3 separate regions of the Mus musculus genome follow, and regions 2 and 3 are each reported to be linked to region 1. The links are microRNA targets in miRTarBase. Many come from high-throughput screens and were not tested one by one. Region 1 holds a microRNA gene; each other region holds the end of a gene's coding sequence. Distances are between the middles of the regions.

Region 1 (5,074 bases):
ACTAATCCTGCTCTTTCGATGACCATCTGGAGGACTTCCTGGAGGCTGCAGCTGTGGGCACAGGTGGAGGCTTTCTTGCCAGGGTGGCTTTGCAGGCTCTGGAATGCCAATCATTCTCTGTCACTTTTTTGTTAAGTTACACAGAATCCCCACCCCCACCCCACCCCATGCCCATCCTCCCATGCCCCACCCTAGTCTTTTGGAAGATCACCCTGTTTTGGAGTGATACTGAGAAGTAAACTAACTTTAGGGCTGGGTACCAGTGTGCAGAGTATGCAGCCAATTCCAGAGCCAGCCAGCTGAGGCTTGCTTCACCAGCCCCTGTGCTCAGCCCAGGCTCACAGGTGCTTCACTGTTCCCTGGCCCAACTCTTGGTTCATGTAAAGAGGATAGCCTCCGGTATGTTCTCTTTATTGATGGTAATAGACTGCAAGAGGCACTTGTCCTCACATCTAACTCTATCTGGGAACTACTCCAGCCCTGTTCCATCTTTGGGTCAGGTCTCCTGATACAACGTGACTTCTGACTTTCTCGGGTATGTACCAATTCTTGGTTCTAAGATGGGACCTTTGGCTAAGCTATTAGTCTCTGGTCCTCCTTGTCCTCTTGGTGCCTGATCTTTTGCTCTTGAGGGTGGGAGAGGGTACTGTGGTGCCTGTTGCACTTGCATTGAACATAATCACCCAACAGTGGCTTGCTTGTTAAAAGACAGTGGCCCTCAGACCTGCCGTCTGTTTGTACCAAGCCATCTCCAGAGCCTTGTTGCTCACAGCATTCACCTTAGAAGATAAAGCATGATGTTAGACTATCCCAGCTTTGATACAAGTACTGGTTTATACATCTTTATTTATAATGATTTCAGGCCTGGTCCACCCCTCTCCAAGTGAGGACTTCCTGGAAGTGGTGTCTGTCTTTGGGAAGAGGCTGAAGTTTCCCATTCCGTGCGGTCTATCTGGTGTTCTTCTGTGGCTATACCTAGATCAGAAGGGGGCAGTTTTAACAGCCCGCACCTATGGAAGCAACCCATCCCGTCAAAAAAAGGTGAGTGTTTTTCCTTGCCATGATTCAGTGCAAACCTGTGGCCATTCCTGCCTGCTCTTTTCTGGGGAAGAGGTCCCAAAAAGGAAAGATGGTTCCATCATTCAGTGGCATGTGGAGTTTGACCCCTGTATGGCATCAACTTCCTTCTAGTTCTGTCCCATTCCACTATCGGGCAGAATTAGTGGGGCAGGGTCCGGTCCTGGGAGTGACACTGATACCCGTTACTGGGAAGGCAGAAAGGATTGGCTTTAATCACTTCTATAAATTCCTGGGGTCCTCCTGTCCTCTGTGTGCAGTGTACAGCCAGGTGGGCATCATAGAGAAAGTGCTAAGGATAAGATTGTAGTCCTAACCAGGGTTTACCTACAGAAAGCAAAAATCTGAGTTCTGTATTTCCTGAGAGAGTGAAAATCTCAATCTGTTGTAACATCTGCCAGTAATATCAGAAAAAGGTCCCCCCCACCCCCCAAGTATCTGTCCCAGCCCAAGCTCCTTGGATGGAGAGCTGACCAGTGGGCACACATCTGGCAGGTGGTGTTTGCCATGTAATTGGCTGATTCCGAATCTCCCATCATCCCTCCCCAGGCTAAGTCCCAGGAGACGAGGCTGACCCCGTGAATGCTAGAGCGGAACCTGCCCCATGCTATTGTTTGGTACTTAAAGCGAGGTTGCCCTTTGTATATTCGGTTTATTGACATGGAATATACAAGGGCAAGCTCTCTGTGAGTATCAAACCTTATCTTGGATCCCGTCCACACTCAGCGAGGGATGTGGTATGTGTGTGCATGACCGTGTGTATCCATCTTGTGTGTGACAAACTGCTTCCTGGGTTTCCTTTATGCACCAACGGCTTCATGGGCGCAAGATGACTTCAGGAAAGACCTCGGGTACATCCCCTCTCCTTGTCCATATGGGTTGGTCCCAAAGCATGCTCTCTGTGTGTAGCCTGGGTCCCTGCTTTCCCAGGCTGATGGTCAGGTCTGTGCTGGTGTGGGCCGTTGTTTTTTGATGTGCTGCCGTGCCGTGGTACCCAAGTGTGCATGTTCTTGCTTGGTGTGTGTGACCCAGTCTGCTAACGCTCAGCGTCTAATTCGTCCCCAGGACCCTACCTGGAAGACGTAGCACGTCTACCTGAGGCGGTGGCTTTGCTTTCCAGGCCGAGCTTTGGTACTTGGAGAGTGGTTATCCCTGTCCTCTTCGCTTCACTCATGCCGAATCGTACAGGGTCATCCACTTTTTCAGTATCAAGTGCGCAGACTCTGCAGCCTGGCTTCCTGCGCCTGGATCCTGCCACTGCCACTTCCCATCACACATCCTTGGACAAGGGTGTCGCCGTGTTATGCTCCTTGTCTCGTGTGTCACTCGCGAGTCCTCTTGGGGTCCAATGCATATGGCTCTCGGGGGCTGGGAGAGATCAGGCTCTTGTAGGGACTAGGCTCATTATTGACCATGTGCCAGCCCAAACTTTTGTCTGCTGGGAGCTGACTGCTGGCAGCTATGATGGTGATATACAAACCTCTCCTTGGATTTGGGAGCCCATGTTGAGACAGACATTCTCTGTCAGTCATGTGAGTGGGTGTTGGAGCTTAGAGTTTGTGCTGGACTTACAAGGTGGTGCTTGTGACTCGGCAGTGACATCATTTCTGTAGCAGCTTCTAGAACAGAAGACCCCATGCCGGGGGTCAGCAGGGCCACCCACAATGCTTGCTCCACTTAAGATGGACACTGCCTGGCTTCTTGACCCCAGCCACCATTACCCTTAGAAGAGGCTAACGTGAGGTTGTCATGCTGAGTCCTGGGGAGTCATTTCTATAGCCTCTCACCTCCCTGGTGCTTAGAATGGCCATCAGTAGTACTGCATGCATGGTGCATGTATGTATTGGGTGCAGCCACGTGTGAGGAGTGGTGATCACTCCCAAGAGGCCTATGGATGCTGGTATTCCTGCTGTGCTACTGTTTCATACTTGAGGAGAAATTATCCTTGGTGTGTTGGCTCTTTTGGATGAATCATACAAGGATAATTTCTTTTTGAGTATCAAATACTGCCCTGGTGGACTTCCGGGATGACGAGACGGTTGTTTAAAGAGGTGCCTGGTGCATGATGCATGGGTTAGCCTTACCTGGGCACAAGGCAAGAGAGCACAGAACTGATGTGTAAGAGCTACACTCTGATCCCAAGTCAGGATCTTGCTTGAAGAGTCCAGGGGTTCCTACGTGGCTTGGTCATGGTGAGATAGCACAGTTTTCATGACTTGGCAAATCGTTCTTTTTTTTTTTGGATGGGCAGCCAATCTCACAGATAGTCACTGGGGTCAGGCCCCGGCCCCTTGCTCAAGAGTGTGACTGGTTCCACAAGCATGTGCTTGAATGACAGAGGCCGGCGAGCTGTCTGGTCTGGATCGTGAGAGGAGGTCCTGCGGTTTTTCTCGGTGCGGTGGTTCTCTGACATTTGCAGGGTGGCTATCAATAGTGTGCTCGCCATATTTATGGAGATTAATTGGGACGACCATTGTTTGCCCCATATCTGGATTTGCTTCCGAAGGTCCTAGAGCACAGTGGTGACTTCAGCTAATGGACATTGGTACCTGCTGCAGGAGAGGGAGAATTTATTGAGGCAGAGTAACCTCAGAAGGCACCCCCCCCCCCATGTACTCTCACAGTGACAGCTTTGAGGTGGCAACAGCTTTGGTGGCTTGCTTCTTTGTGCTTGGTCTGGAGAACACTGAGAATAACTCACCTGTCTGTTGTTGCTGTTAAGTCTTAGTTCAGAGGAACTCCTTGAGAAGGTACTGGGTCAAGCATCTCTTTAGGTAGACAGAACTTGGCCAGGGTCTTCTAGGTCCAGCACCCACTCTCCTCAGCATCCATTCTGAGCATAGACTTCCTGTGGTTAATACAGGTGTTAATAAGGATACTTCCTGCCGCCGCCGCTGCCTTAAGTCACTCTCTATCTGTTCCTATGGCTTCCTTTGGGCTGACTTTTTCTTAGACATACCTGGTCAATAGCATACCATTTCAGCTCATTCCATAATCTGGTGTGTGTGTGTGTGTGTGTGTGTGTGTGTGTGTGTGTGTGTGTGTGCCTGCATGCATGCTTGTACAAATTGTTGGTTAGTGTAGGGCCTCTCAAACTGCTCAACGCTGCTAAGATATTCGTCACCTAGGGATCTTGTTAAAAAGCAGAGTCTGATTGAGGGGCCAAGATTCTGCATTTTTAGCAAGCTCTCAAGTGATGCTAATGCTGCCGGTCCGTGGACAACACATGTAGCCACTGGGGGCTGGAGGTGATGTTGCATGTTCCTTGTAGTGTGTGTGCTCCATCTCCTCCATCCACCCCGCATTATCCATCATGAGTGAGCATTGAGCCAATATGCTACCTTTTGATGATCAAACTGTGGTCAGTTGTGAAAGGCCACCTGCTGTACAAACACCATTATTGATTATTGATTATTCTTTCAAATCAAAGCATGCCTCTATGGGCTTCCCAGATATAAGAGCTACTTCAAGGAGGGGCTGCCTATGTCAGCCAACAGCAGGACTTGTCAGCACCAGGTTATTGGTGACTGAGACCATCTGACTCTGTAACTCTCCATTTCCAGTCAATTGTAAGGAGCACAGTTCTGGAACCACAGCTTCTGGGGAAGGAGGAGTCCTATCTGTCGTATCTACCAGCAACCCTCGACGTTATCGAGAGAGGTAATGCCCATGGTGCCATTGCCCTTCCATGATATTCGGCCAGCTGCTGGCTTCTTGCCATCCAGCTTACCTCTCAGGGAGGACCAGATAGACTTCCATTTTGTTTCTAAATTGACCTGCCTTAGGAAGCTCTTGTGGGAATGAGTTTTTCCGTCAGACCAGATTTTAGCCCTAGGACCAATGTGTAGCAGTGAGTGGTTGCTGTCAGCTCATGTGCTTTCTTACAGACTATGGGAATTCACCTCTCAGAGTCTAGGAATTCAATTTGTCATTGGAAGAATCTTCTGGAAGGAGAGAGGACAGTAGACAAGAGGCCCCGGTTTTCCTGTCAGAGATC
Region 2 (5,074 bases), 34 Mb from region 1:
TGGGACCTCTAGGGATACTGGTTGGTTCGTATTGTTGTTCCTCCTATGGGGCTGTAAGCTCCTTCGGTCCTTTCTCTAGCTCCTCCATTGGGGACCTTGTGCTCCAGGTTAGCCTAATCTAGAAAATCCCTCACCGCCATGCCCAAAGGCTTATCTCCTATATGAATCTATACCTTATCAATTTAAGTGTTAATCAGCCATCACCCCAGCTGCCAGCTTATTTGAGCCTCACATCCCAGAGCCCTGATTTCTTTCCCTAAGCATATAGTCAGATGATGGTGAGTGTACCTTAAGAACCTTCCTGATGAGTGCCCCCCACCTCTCTGTTGTCAGGATGCCCCACCTCGACAGCCCCGGCAGCTCCCAGCCGAGACGCTCCTTCCTCTCAAGGGTGATCAGGGCAGCGCTACCGTTGCAGCTGCTTCTGCTGCTGCTGCTGCTCCTGGCCTGCCTGCTACCTGCCTCTGAAGATGACTACAGCTGCACCCAGGCCAACAACTTTGCCCGATCCTTCTACCCCATGCTGCGGTACACCAACGGGCCACCTCCCACCTAGAAGGTTCCACCAGCTGCAGTGCCATGGCCGACAGCCTGTTGACCACAAGTGCTCAGCTCGTGGGATCAGACTAACCCCGGAGTGACTTTGCCTTGACAAGGTCCAGGGACTCCCTCCTCTTGTCCAAGTGGACTCTGGGAGCCCAGGACAACTCAGACAAGATGTCCTTCTGCTGGAACAGAGAATCAAGCACAGCAGGACCTGGCATTCAGATAAAGTTACCAGATGGGTTCAGAGAACTCCGGAAAGGGGTGGGGGCGGGGCCTCTGGAAGAGCCACACACTGTGGAAAACAGTTATTGTAGCACAGCTCATAAGGCCCATGAACAATGGTGTTCAGCACGTAAATGACCTATATCCAAGAAGCTAGTGGGCCCCCTACCTTATTTAGTAATGGTTCGGAAATTCCTGTGCACTGAGCTGATTGGTTGATTCAAACACATTTTAAATATTTAGAATCAGTTTTCCTCCAATCAGCTAGTAGTCTATACTTCCCAGGTTATAAACCAAAACCTCCCATTCAGCACCCGGGTCAGCTCTTTTTACATTGCTTTAAAAATTTCTAAGGAAATTTTATTGCATGGATGTCGTTATTTGTGCATATTTTTTAACAATGCTGAATCTGTATGTATAATGTAAACTTTGATTTAAAAAAAAACAGATTTTAGCCTGAGCTTTTGACTCATGTACAGTAAATGCCAAACTACAGACTTGATAGGGATGTTTTTATAATTTAATTTTTTAAGACTTTTCATGTTTAAAGAGATACTTCAGGTCTGGTTGAGCTGTTTGGCCACCAGGGGTTGGTAAAGAAACTTGGAACTATTTGTGATATGTCAACTCAGATGTTTCTCATTAAAAAAAAAAAAAAAAAAAAAAAAAAGCCCTGCTTGTGTATTGGACTCTTTTAGAAAGCAGATCAGTGGTGCACTTGGTCTCCCAAATATAACAAATATCTTAGACTCACCTGGTCCCAGCCCATGGCTACCATGGACCCTACAGCTGCCACCTGTGGTACAGACCCAGCCAGGTAGGTAGGCTGACTGTGTTCTCTGTCCCTCACACTGCCCCCTCCTCTCTGTCTCCCTGAGACTCAGCTGATCCCAGGAAGGCTGTAGCCATCACATGTCATGTAGACACATAGGAAACCTGCACTTTCCTTCCTAGCGTCCATTTGGGTCACCCAAGTCCTCTGGCTGCTTGCCAGGGACGGCCTCCTCCTCCTAGCCTGTCTCTCCTCCCTCCAGGACTCACCAGATCCCAACACAATAGCCACCAGGGACTATTCAATCACCACCTATATACCCCACTGTCCAGAGTCCTGCCAGCTATCCTCCGCAGCCTTAAGACCCAGGACTAGTCAGTCCCTACTGCCAGGTGAAACTTGTTCTAGAGCTGAAGACAATGCCAGACTAGCAGAGAAACAAGACCTGGAGAGAGGCTATATCTCCATTTACCAAACAAAATGGTTCCCAGTGCTGCTGTGCATTTGCATCCTGAACACTAAATACCTCTGCTGAAAGATGAAGACTTGAATAAAAGAAAATCTTCAACCAGTCTGGAGAGATGGGTCAGTGGTTAGGAGCACTGGCTGCTCTTCTGATGGTCTTGAGTTCAATTCCCAGGACCCACATCCCAGCTCACCACCATCTACAATAGGATCTGATGCCCTCTTCTGATATGCAGATGTAGAATCAGATGGAACACTCACATACATAAAAATAAATACACTTTTAAAAAACAACCCTCACCCAACAAATTCCAGATGTACAAATCCCACAGTTATGGCCCCTAATGAAAATGACATAGAAGAACTTAAATAATCCAAAGAGTGACTGTAACTATAGTCAAACAACTCAAGACAGAGACAAAATAAAGGAGCTAGTCTAAATAGTTTTGAGTTTTTTTAAGACAATTCAGATGGAAATGTTAGAAATGAAATTTTCAATAAACCATGTAACAGCCTCAGTGGGAAGCCAGAATGGGAACAGAATGGATTGTGTCAAAAACAGACAGGGATGAAAGACAAAGGAATTGGATCTTTCAGTGAAGATCAAGAGAAATTTAATAATAACAATAACATGCAGCATGGAAAAGTTTTGGAACCTCATAAAAAGGCATAATCCTGGGCATGGGAGGAGAAGAAGGTATAATGAAGGCCTAGAAAACCTATTCACAGATATCATAGAAGAAAATCCCCCAAACCTAAGGAAAAGGATTCCTGAGGATGCTAAATAGGTAAGATGGGAAAAGGAATTTTCCACAGTGTATTATAGTTAAAATATTAAAAATGCAAAATATGAAAAAGGGCTTTGGAGCTCCAAGAGAGGGAAGGTCAAGTCACTTACAAAGCCATGTGGGTCACAATAACCACTGATTAGTTTACAGACCTTTAAAGGGCCTGAAAAGCTGTATTCCAAATCCTGAAAGAGCCTAACTGTTACACCTAGCAAAGCCATCTATTAAAACTGAAGGAGCGCCTCACTTGATGTTACAGTTCCCCTGGGGAGACAGAGGCAACTGTACCTCTAAATTCCAGGCCAGCCAAGGTTATATAGTGAGACCCTCCCGCACATACACAAAATAATAACGATTTGAAACATTACAGGCTATTACCAATGTTCTCAGTTACACTCTTGTACTTCATAGGAAAGCCCAGTACTGAAGACACAACACACTTGAGTCACAAAACCCAGAGAAGTTAAGCTGCCACTCGCATGGAGGCTTCGCCATCCTTACTGGCCAGCTTTCACAGTACATGAAGATGCTACCAGAGATGGAAAGGAATAATTTTTTGGGCTTTTGGGTTTTGTTTTTTGTTTGCTTGGTTGGTTTGTTTGTTTGTTTGTTTTTGTTTTTTGAGACAGAGCCTCACTGTGTAGTCCTGGCTGGCATAGAACTCAACTATATAGACCAGGCAAGCCTTGAACTCAGATATCTACCAGCCTCTGTCTCCAGAGTGCCCCAGGGTTAAAAGCCACCACTCCTGCCCCGAAGTCACCAATCTTGCCCAGCTGTGAGCCCTGAGAACTATAGCAACAGCCAGCCTGGAAGACAGTTACAATGCCACTGCTATAATAGTGGTGTGAATGTCTTGGGATTAACCGCCCATCTTCCCTTTTTATCAGGACCAAGGGACCTGTGTGTGGACACATTACAAAGGGAGGATCCATTACTGTATTAAACTAACTCCTAACGGGTTACTGTTACAGCCATAGATTAGTGCATCCATCAACTCTCATAAGAGAGGCTTTTTCCAGTAGGTGGTAATTCACACGGAAAACCCACAACTGATCAAGATGCAGAGGATAAGAGACTGTAGAAGGCTCAGCCCTGTATCTATGTCATACCCCCTTCCTCCAAAGGCTCAGGGTTCATTGTAGAAGAGGGTTTGGAGAGACTGTAAGAGTCAGCATAAGAGTGACAAGAAACAGGACATTCTAGACACAGAACGGCTGCACATATGATTTCACAGCAATAGAGACAGCATGCACAAGACCAGTGCTGGCTCAGGCCAGACAGAATTTCATCATGGAGAGGGGAGGTGGATGCTAAGTCCCAATCCTGCCTTAGGAGCTATTGGAAGTTGATAGTGTTTGGGAGAGGGAGAGTCTATTTTCTTTAAGGGTGTAAGAACATCTGGGTAACACAAACTGTTTTTTTTTTTTTGTTTGTTTGTTTTTTTTTTTTTTTTTTTTTTTTGGTTTTTTGAGACAGGGTTTCTCTGTATAGCCCTGGAACTCACTTTGTAGACCAGGCTGGCCTCAAACTCAGAAATCTGAGTGCTGGGATTAAAGGCATGCGTCACCACGCCCAGCTATACTTTAAAAAAAAAAAAAAAAAAAAAAAAAAGCAGAGTTCGGTGGGTCAGAAAGGAATAGATCTTGGAGAAGTGAAAGGATCAGGTAAATAGAATTGAAATGGTCAAGGAAAAAAATTGAATGATTTTTATTTTTTTACTTAAATGTATACTTGTGTATATTGTGTGTGGTACACACACACACGAGTGGAGGCGTCTGCAAAGACCAGAAGTGGTTGTCAGATCCCCTGGAACTGCAGTTACAGGCAGTTGTGGGCCACCTGATGTGATGAGTACTGGCAACTGAGCTCAGGTCCTCTGCAAGAGCAGTGTGCTTAACCACTGAGCCCCCAAACATCACTTTGAAAATTTTTTGGAAGGCTTTGCCTCTAAGCTTTCTGTTCCACTTATATTTATCTTTGTGAATGACTGAGACTTCGAGACCCACAACCTGTCTGGAAGTGAGACTTTCCTGCATGTGTACATTTCGTCGCAGTAATGAAATACCTCAGTCAGAACGTGGAGGCACACAAATGTCTGTGTCTTACTGGCTTCTCTTCCCTCAGGCAGGGACACCAGCCCATGGACTCCTGCTGCCCACAGTTAGGTGCTTCCCTCCTAGGTGTGCTCCCTCAGCAATGAAGAGCTGCAGCTGACAATAACCATCACAATATGTTAGTAGTTCAACCCTGACCATCCTTTGCCTGGGGGGAAGCATCG
Region 3 (5,074 bases), not on the chromosome of region 1:
AGAAGTTTGAAATTTTATTCCAGAAACAATGATGAAGTTCTGGAAAGGTCTCAAGCACAAGCATAGTTAAGATCAGATTGATATCTTAAGAGTTCATCTTGTTATACATGAAAATATGCCCAACATAGCTAGGCGTGGTGGTGCATGCCTTTAATCCCAGCACTCAGGAGGCAGTAGCAGGCAGATCTCTGACTCTGAGGCTAGCCTGGAGTTCCAGAACAGCCAGGGCTACACAGAGAAATTCTTTTTCTTTTTTTTTTTTTTTGTGGCTGGAGAGACAGCTATGGGTGCTAGGAACCGAACTCTTATATTTTTGGTTGTAAGCCTATTTCCCCAGCCTGAGAAATTCTATCTTTGAAAAAAAAAAAAGACAAAACAAAAATATTGTCCAACACATGAAACCCTATCTTAAAACCACAGACACAGACACAGGAGGAAGAGGAAGACATAATGGCCAACATCACTAGTTATTAGGAAACTGCAACTCAGAACCAGCTAAGGGACTGTGGATGGAGCCCAGTGGTACAATACTTGTCTACATCTGCAAGTCCTGGGTCTGGTCCCCTGCACTGCCACAAAATAAAACACAGCACATACACAATGAAACACACTTCAAATTAGTAAACAATATTGGTGAAGACTTGATAAACTGGAATCCTGATATCCTCCATGGGAACACAGCTTGGCAATTCCTCCAAAGACTAAAGGTAAGAGCTGCCTTACGATCCATCCATTCTATTCCTATACAAAAGAATGAAAACACGCTGGGTGTGGTGGTGCACCCCTTTAATCCCAGCACTTGGCTAGCAGAGGCAGGAGGGTCTCTGTGAGTTCGAGGCCAGCCTGGTCTACAAATTGAGTCCAGGACAGACAGAGCTTGTTACACAGGGAAACCCTGTCTCAAAAACAAAAACAAACAAACAAACAAAAACCCACCTCCACCACCACCAAAACCCCCACATGTCCATGAAGGAGAACATGAAGGGGTGTTGCACACACATATATACAGAAGCCTATTCATGATCGTCCTGACTAGAAATCACAGAACGCCCATTATATGCACTGTAATGAAATATTTAGACAATTTAAAAAACTGAAGAGAAAAGACAAAACAAAACAAACCCACTGGCAGGCACAGTGCCACACACCTTTAATCCCAGCACCTGGGAAGCAGAGCTTCCTCTGTGAACTCAAGACCAGCCTGTTCTAAGGGCAGCCAGGGCCACACAATGAAAATGTCTAAGCGCACACGCGCACACACACACACACACACACACACACACACAGAGAGAGAGAGAAAGAGAGAGAGAGAGAGAGAGGTACTCACTACTTGAAATGATGATATATACCATGGCACAGATGAACCTTAAAACTAAGTAAACAGACACATTGCACATCGCATATAACATTTATGAAAGGTCCGTTATAGGCAAATCCACAAGGACAGAAAGATTAGTAGTTGCCAGGTCTGAGGAGAGGTGAAGGAGGACTGCTAGTGGGAACAGGATTTTTCTGGTGATAAATATGTTCTAAAACTGATGATGATAATGGTTCCACAGCTCTGTAAATAGACGACAATCAAATGTACACTGTACAAGGATAAACTGCATACTATGTACGTATCTCTCAAGTAAAAATTTGCCCCCACTACAATGTGTAGAATGAAGAGGGAGGGTTGAGAGAAGCTGCCGCAGAAAGGAAAGACAGAAGCAGGGGAAGGAATCATGGAATTATGATAGAGGAGGGCCAGAGGCCATCAGGCCCCTCTACAAAGAAGAGTAGTAGGAAACAAAGATGAGGTATCTGCAATTATTATGAAGCAGCAAAAGGGCATTTAATAATCTCCTACATATAAAGACTAACCCCACATGTACAGAAAGTGCCCTGAATAAAGTATACCCAGCTGCCTGCTGGGCTATCCTGACTACTGTCACTCCTAAGCACATAGGGTTCAAGGTGTTGAAGCTCTGGGCAGCTCTGAGAGCTGGCTGGAGAGAGAGATGCTGGGCAGACCATCACTTTAGGCAGTATGTACGTTTCTGGGTTGTCTGTGCTGTAAAAACTGCAATGCTGCTCAAGGGCATCTTTCCTGGTCAGCTCAAGGAGTTAGTTTTGAATACATACTGCCTACCTTCCATAAAGTCCTCCCCTCATCTCTAGCAGGAGGTTGACAAGTGCTCAAAGACCCTAGGCAAATGGGCCTGGGTTGCCAGATAGAACAATAAGAAAGCTGAGGATGGGTTGGGGCTCTAGACCCCACAGGCACATCTTCAACACACTGGGAGAACTGGAGCCTGTAAACGGATGGGGTGAGTCTCTGTTCACAATCTCATGGCCACCTTGTTCCCTGACACTTTGGCCACCTCAACAGAAAAACATGCTGCAGCCACAACTTCCAAGAATAAAATACCACTGAGAGATATCAACAAAGCCAGAATCTCTGCACCAGACCATTTCCTTGCTTCATGGGGAAACCAAGGCTCAGGCCCAGTGTGTAGAGTCCTGGTTGGCATCCAGGTCTCTGTTCTCAGGCCATTTTTCTTCTTACTCTACCAAAGTCTGAACCTCTAAGAACCTGACTGTAAGCTGTGAGCTACAAAGGGCAAGATAAACTTAGAAACCTTGGAGGACTTAGGTCTGAACTGGCAGAGAAATTAGAACTACCTTTTTCTAGGATCCTCAGAAGCCAAACCACTTTGGTTATATGCTCCCATCTTTCTGGGGGTAGGGTGGAGATGGGGGTGGGGTGGGGTTGCTAACCAAATGATACATATGATACAGTTTTGTTACGACTTAGTTCTGAAGTCTTCTGCTTCTTCATGTGCATCACTGTTCATTCACAGTGTAGGCAGCCACCAAGGGACACGTGCTCAACCACAAGTCAAGTGCTCTGTGACCTACTGGGCACAGAACAAGCCGAGCAGGTGAAGAGCTTGACATCCCAAAGGCATGCTTATGCACTCAAGTGAAACACCACTTTTAAGCCTGTAGAGCAATACAGTATTAAATACTATAAAGTAAAGTCAGATGAGAAGCCAAATAATCTACTTACTCCCTTTCCATGGTAAAATCATTTGAAAGGAGAATAAACATAAACTTACATTTTCTGAAACTACTGTCTTATTTGCTAGTTTTGAATAAGTCTTCAATAATAAGTCAGAGACACAAAGAGTGAATTCTCAGGGTATCATTTCTAGAAAAGTGGGAATAAACAAGAGCCCATCACAGATGGACAGCAGTTTCTTTCCTACAGTGGCCACAAAGCAAGTTGAACTCAAGTACAACAGACCATACAATTGGTACCATTCAAAATAATGACACTCCTTTCTTTGCCTTCTTCCAAAGTATATAATGTATATTTAACAACACAAAAGACACCACTTGAGCTTCCCCTTAGCCAACAGGAGGAATATCCACATATAAAAATTAAAAATTTAAACTTTTAAGTCATTAATAGTTTTTAAACATAATACAGACTTAAAAATTGTTCAACATCAACCCAAGACCCCACCCCTAAGCACAGAAATCAACTCCAAATCCAGAAGTCACAGTTGTTTGTCCCTAGAAGTCCTACAGCACTGAACTTGGTCTTTACACCAGGCTACCAGCCAGCAAAAGGCTCTAAAAGACTCCCCCCGGGAGGAATGGAAGCCACTGCTGACTGCTGCTGCAAGCATATCTACTCGGGAGGGTCTCAGGTCAGGTCTGAGAGACTTAGCCACCACACTAAGGCCCTGGAAGGCTGAGCTGGCAGCTTCCCTCATCTTCCCCCTCAAAGACTGTCCAGTAAGCACCTGAGAACTGACTTTTCTTGGAACAGGGTGCTGGCAAGATCTGTCAGGGCCAAGGCAACAATGAGAAGTTCAGTTCTCGGCTCTTTGGATGACTGTGTAAAACATTGCTTTTAAAAGACACAATGTTAAAAATATTAAGAAAATGTCTACAAAATCTGGAGGGTTGCCTTTAACTCCAAGGGTAAAGCTTGTGGGGTGGTGGGGAAGACTTGAGGACCCAGAACTGTAACTCTGCAGCACAAGACAGAGACACCCTTCCTTCAAAACTCATCACACTCTTAAGCTGTCCTACTAGGACAGCAAGTGTTCAGGGTGCAGGTAGGAGGAAAGGGCGCCAGCTCCTGCAAGGGAGGTTCCCACTGCACGCCCCACCTTATGTAAGAATGTCAGATTTAAGGGCAGTTGCCAAGGCCAGGGCATCAGGACTCTGCCTCTGAACCAGAGCTACTTTCCCGGCTGACTTCAATCTGGAGCGAAGGCAAGCTATCCAGCCGACTCTTCTTCTGGCGAGACTCTTCTTTCTCCTTGATCAGAGCACCCCATGCTCTCTGAAGCTCCGAGTCATCTTCCTCAGCACCAGATGCCCTGTGATCCACTTTCTTCGTGTTCTTTTCTTTGGTCTTGGGTGTAGATCCTAAGCGAGTCCACAAACCACCTGTTGGGGTGAGAAGACACTTCAGTTGGCAGTCGATGCCGAGTACCAAGTAGTTCTGTGGAAGTAAGGACACTGCCAACACCTGCTCTGCAGGAAACATCGGGAGAGGTGCTTGGTGCCAGTCTGTAAGTGGACAGCCTGAGACTCGATGGGAGATGCTCACAGCTCAAGGCTGGTGTCCCCATACCAGGCACAAACTAGACACTTGCCTCTCTCCCAGGCTGTGTACCCCTCAGTCTGCCAAGAAACCGCCAACTCTCACATTCTGCAAACTGAACGGGTCTGTTTTACTATGAGCAATTCTCAGGTTTTCAGCTATACATTTTTAAAGTGTGTTTATGTATTGGCTGAAGGCCTTATTGGTTAAGCGTACTTGTTCTTGCAGAGGACCTGGTTATGTTTCCAACACCCACATGGTACCTTACAACAGTCCATAACTCCACTTCCAGGGGATCCAATGCCCTCTTCCCACCTCCAAGGGCACCAGACATGTACACAGTACACAGACAAACATGTAAGCAAAACATAAAAAAAATCCCCCAAAAGAAGTGTTTTATTAAAACCTTACAAAGAAGCATGTGTTTAGAATGTGGTGATATACATATACTACAAGATAATTAAAGGT

The links. The annotated mature microRNA mmu-miR-539-5p reads GGAGAAAUUAUCCUUGGUGUGU and lies in region 1 at 3,010-3,031, shown strand. An mRNA with a match to its seed (bases 2 to 7 or 8) in the 3' UTR can be bound and repressed. Matches are read on the target gene's strand: a 7mer-m8 pairs with bases 2 to 8, a 7mer-A1 pairs with bases 2 to 7 and ends in A, and an 8mer does both.
Region 2: the mRNA of Syne2 is a reported target of mmu-miR-539-5p. Seed matches in the 3' UTR shown: 7mer-A1 at 1,404-1,410.
Region 3: miRTarBase lists Ncbp3 as a target of mmu-miR-539-5p. Seed matches in the 3' UTR shown: 7mer-m8 at 2,649-2,655, 8mer at 340-347 and 7mer-m8 at 236-242.

What each region holds. Positions count from the first base shown.
Region 1 is chr12:109,725,127-109,730,200 of GRCm38, forward strand. It overlaps Mir539 (microRNA 539), which reads left to right and starts at 3,003; the gene lies at 3,003-3,076. It overlaps Mir381 (microRNA 381), which reads left to right and starts at 1,696; the gene lies at 1,696-1,770. It overlaps Mir487b (microRNA 487b), which reads left to right and starts at 2,207; the gene lies at 2,207-2,288. It overlaps Mir544 (microRNA 544), which reads left to right and starts at 4,199; the gene lies at 4,199-4,276.
Region 2 is chr12:76,109,489-76,114,562 of GRCm38, forward strand. It overlaps Syne2 (spectrin repeat containing, nuclear envelope 2), which reads left to right. Exons shown (of 116, transcript NM_001005510.2): 116 at 334-1,440. The coding sequence ends at 556. Among named protein-coding and RNA genes, the nearest start is that of Esr2, 65 kb to the right of the region's middle.
Region 3 is chr11:73,078,316-73,083,389 of GRCm38, reverse strand. It overlaps Ncbp3 (nuclear cap binding subunit 3), which reads right to left. Exons shown (of 13, transcript NM_025818.3): 13 at 1-4,449. The coding sequence ends at 4,214. Among named protein-coding and RNA genes, the nearest start is that of Itgae, 9.7 kb to the left of the region's middle.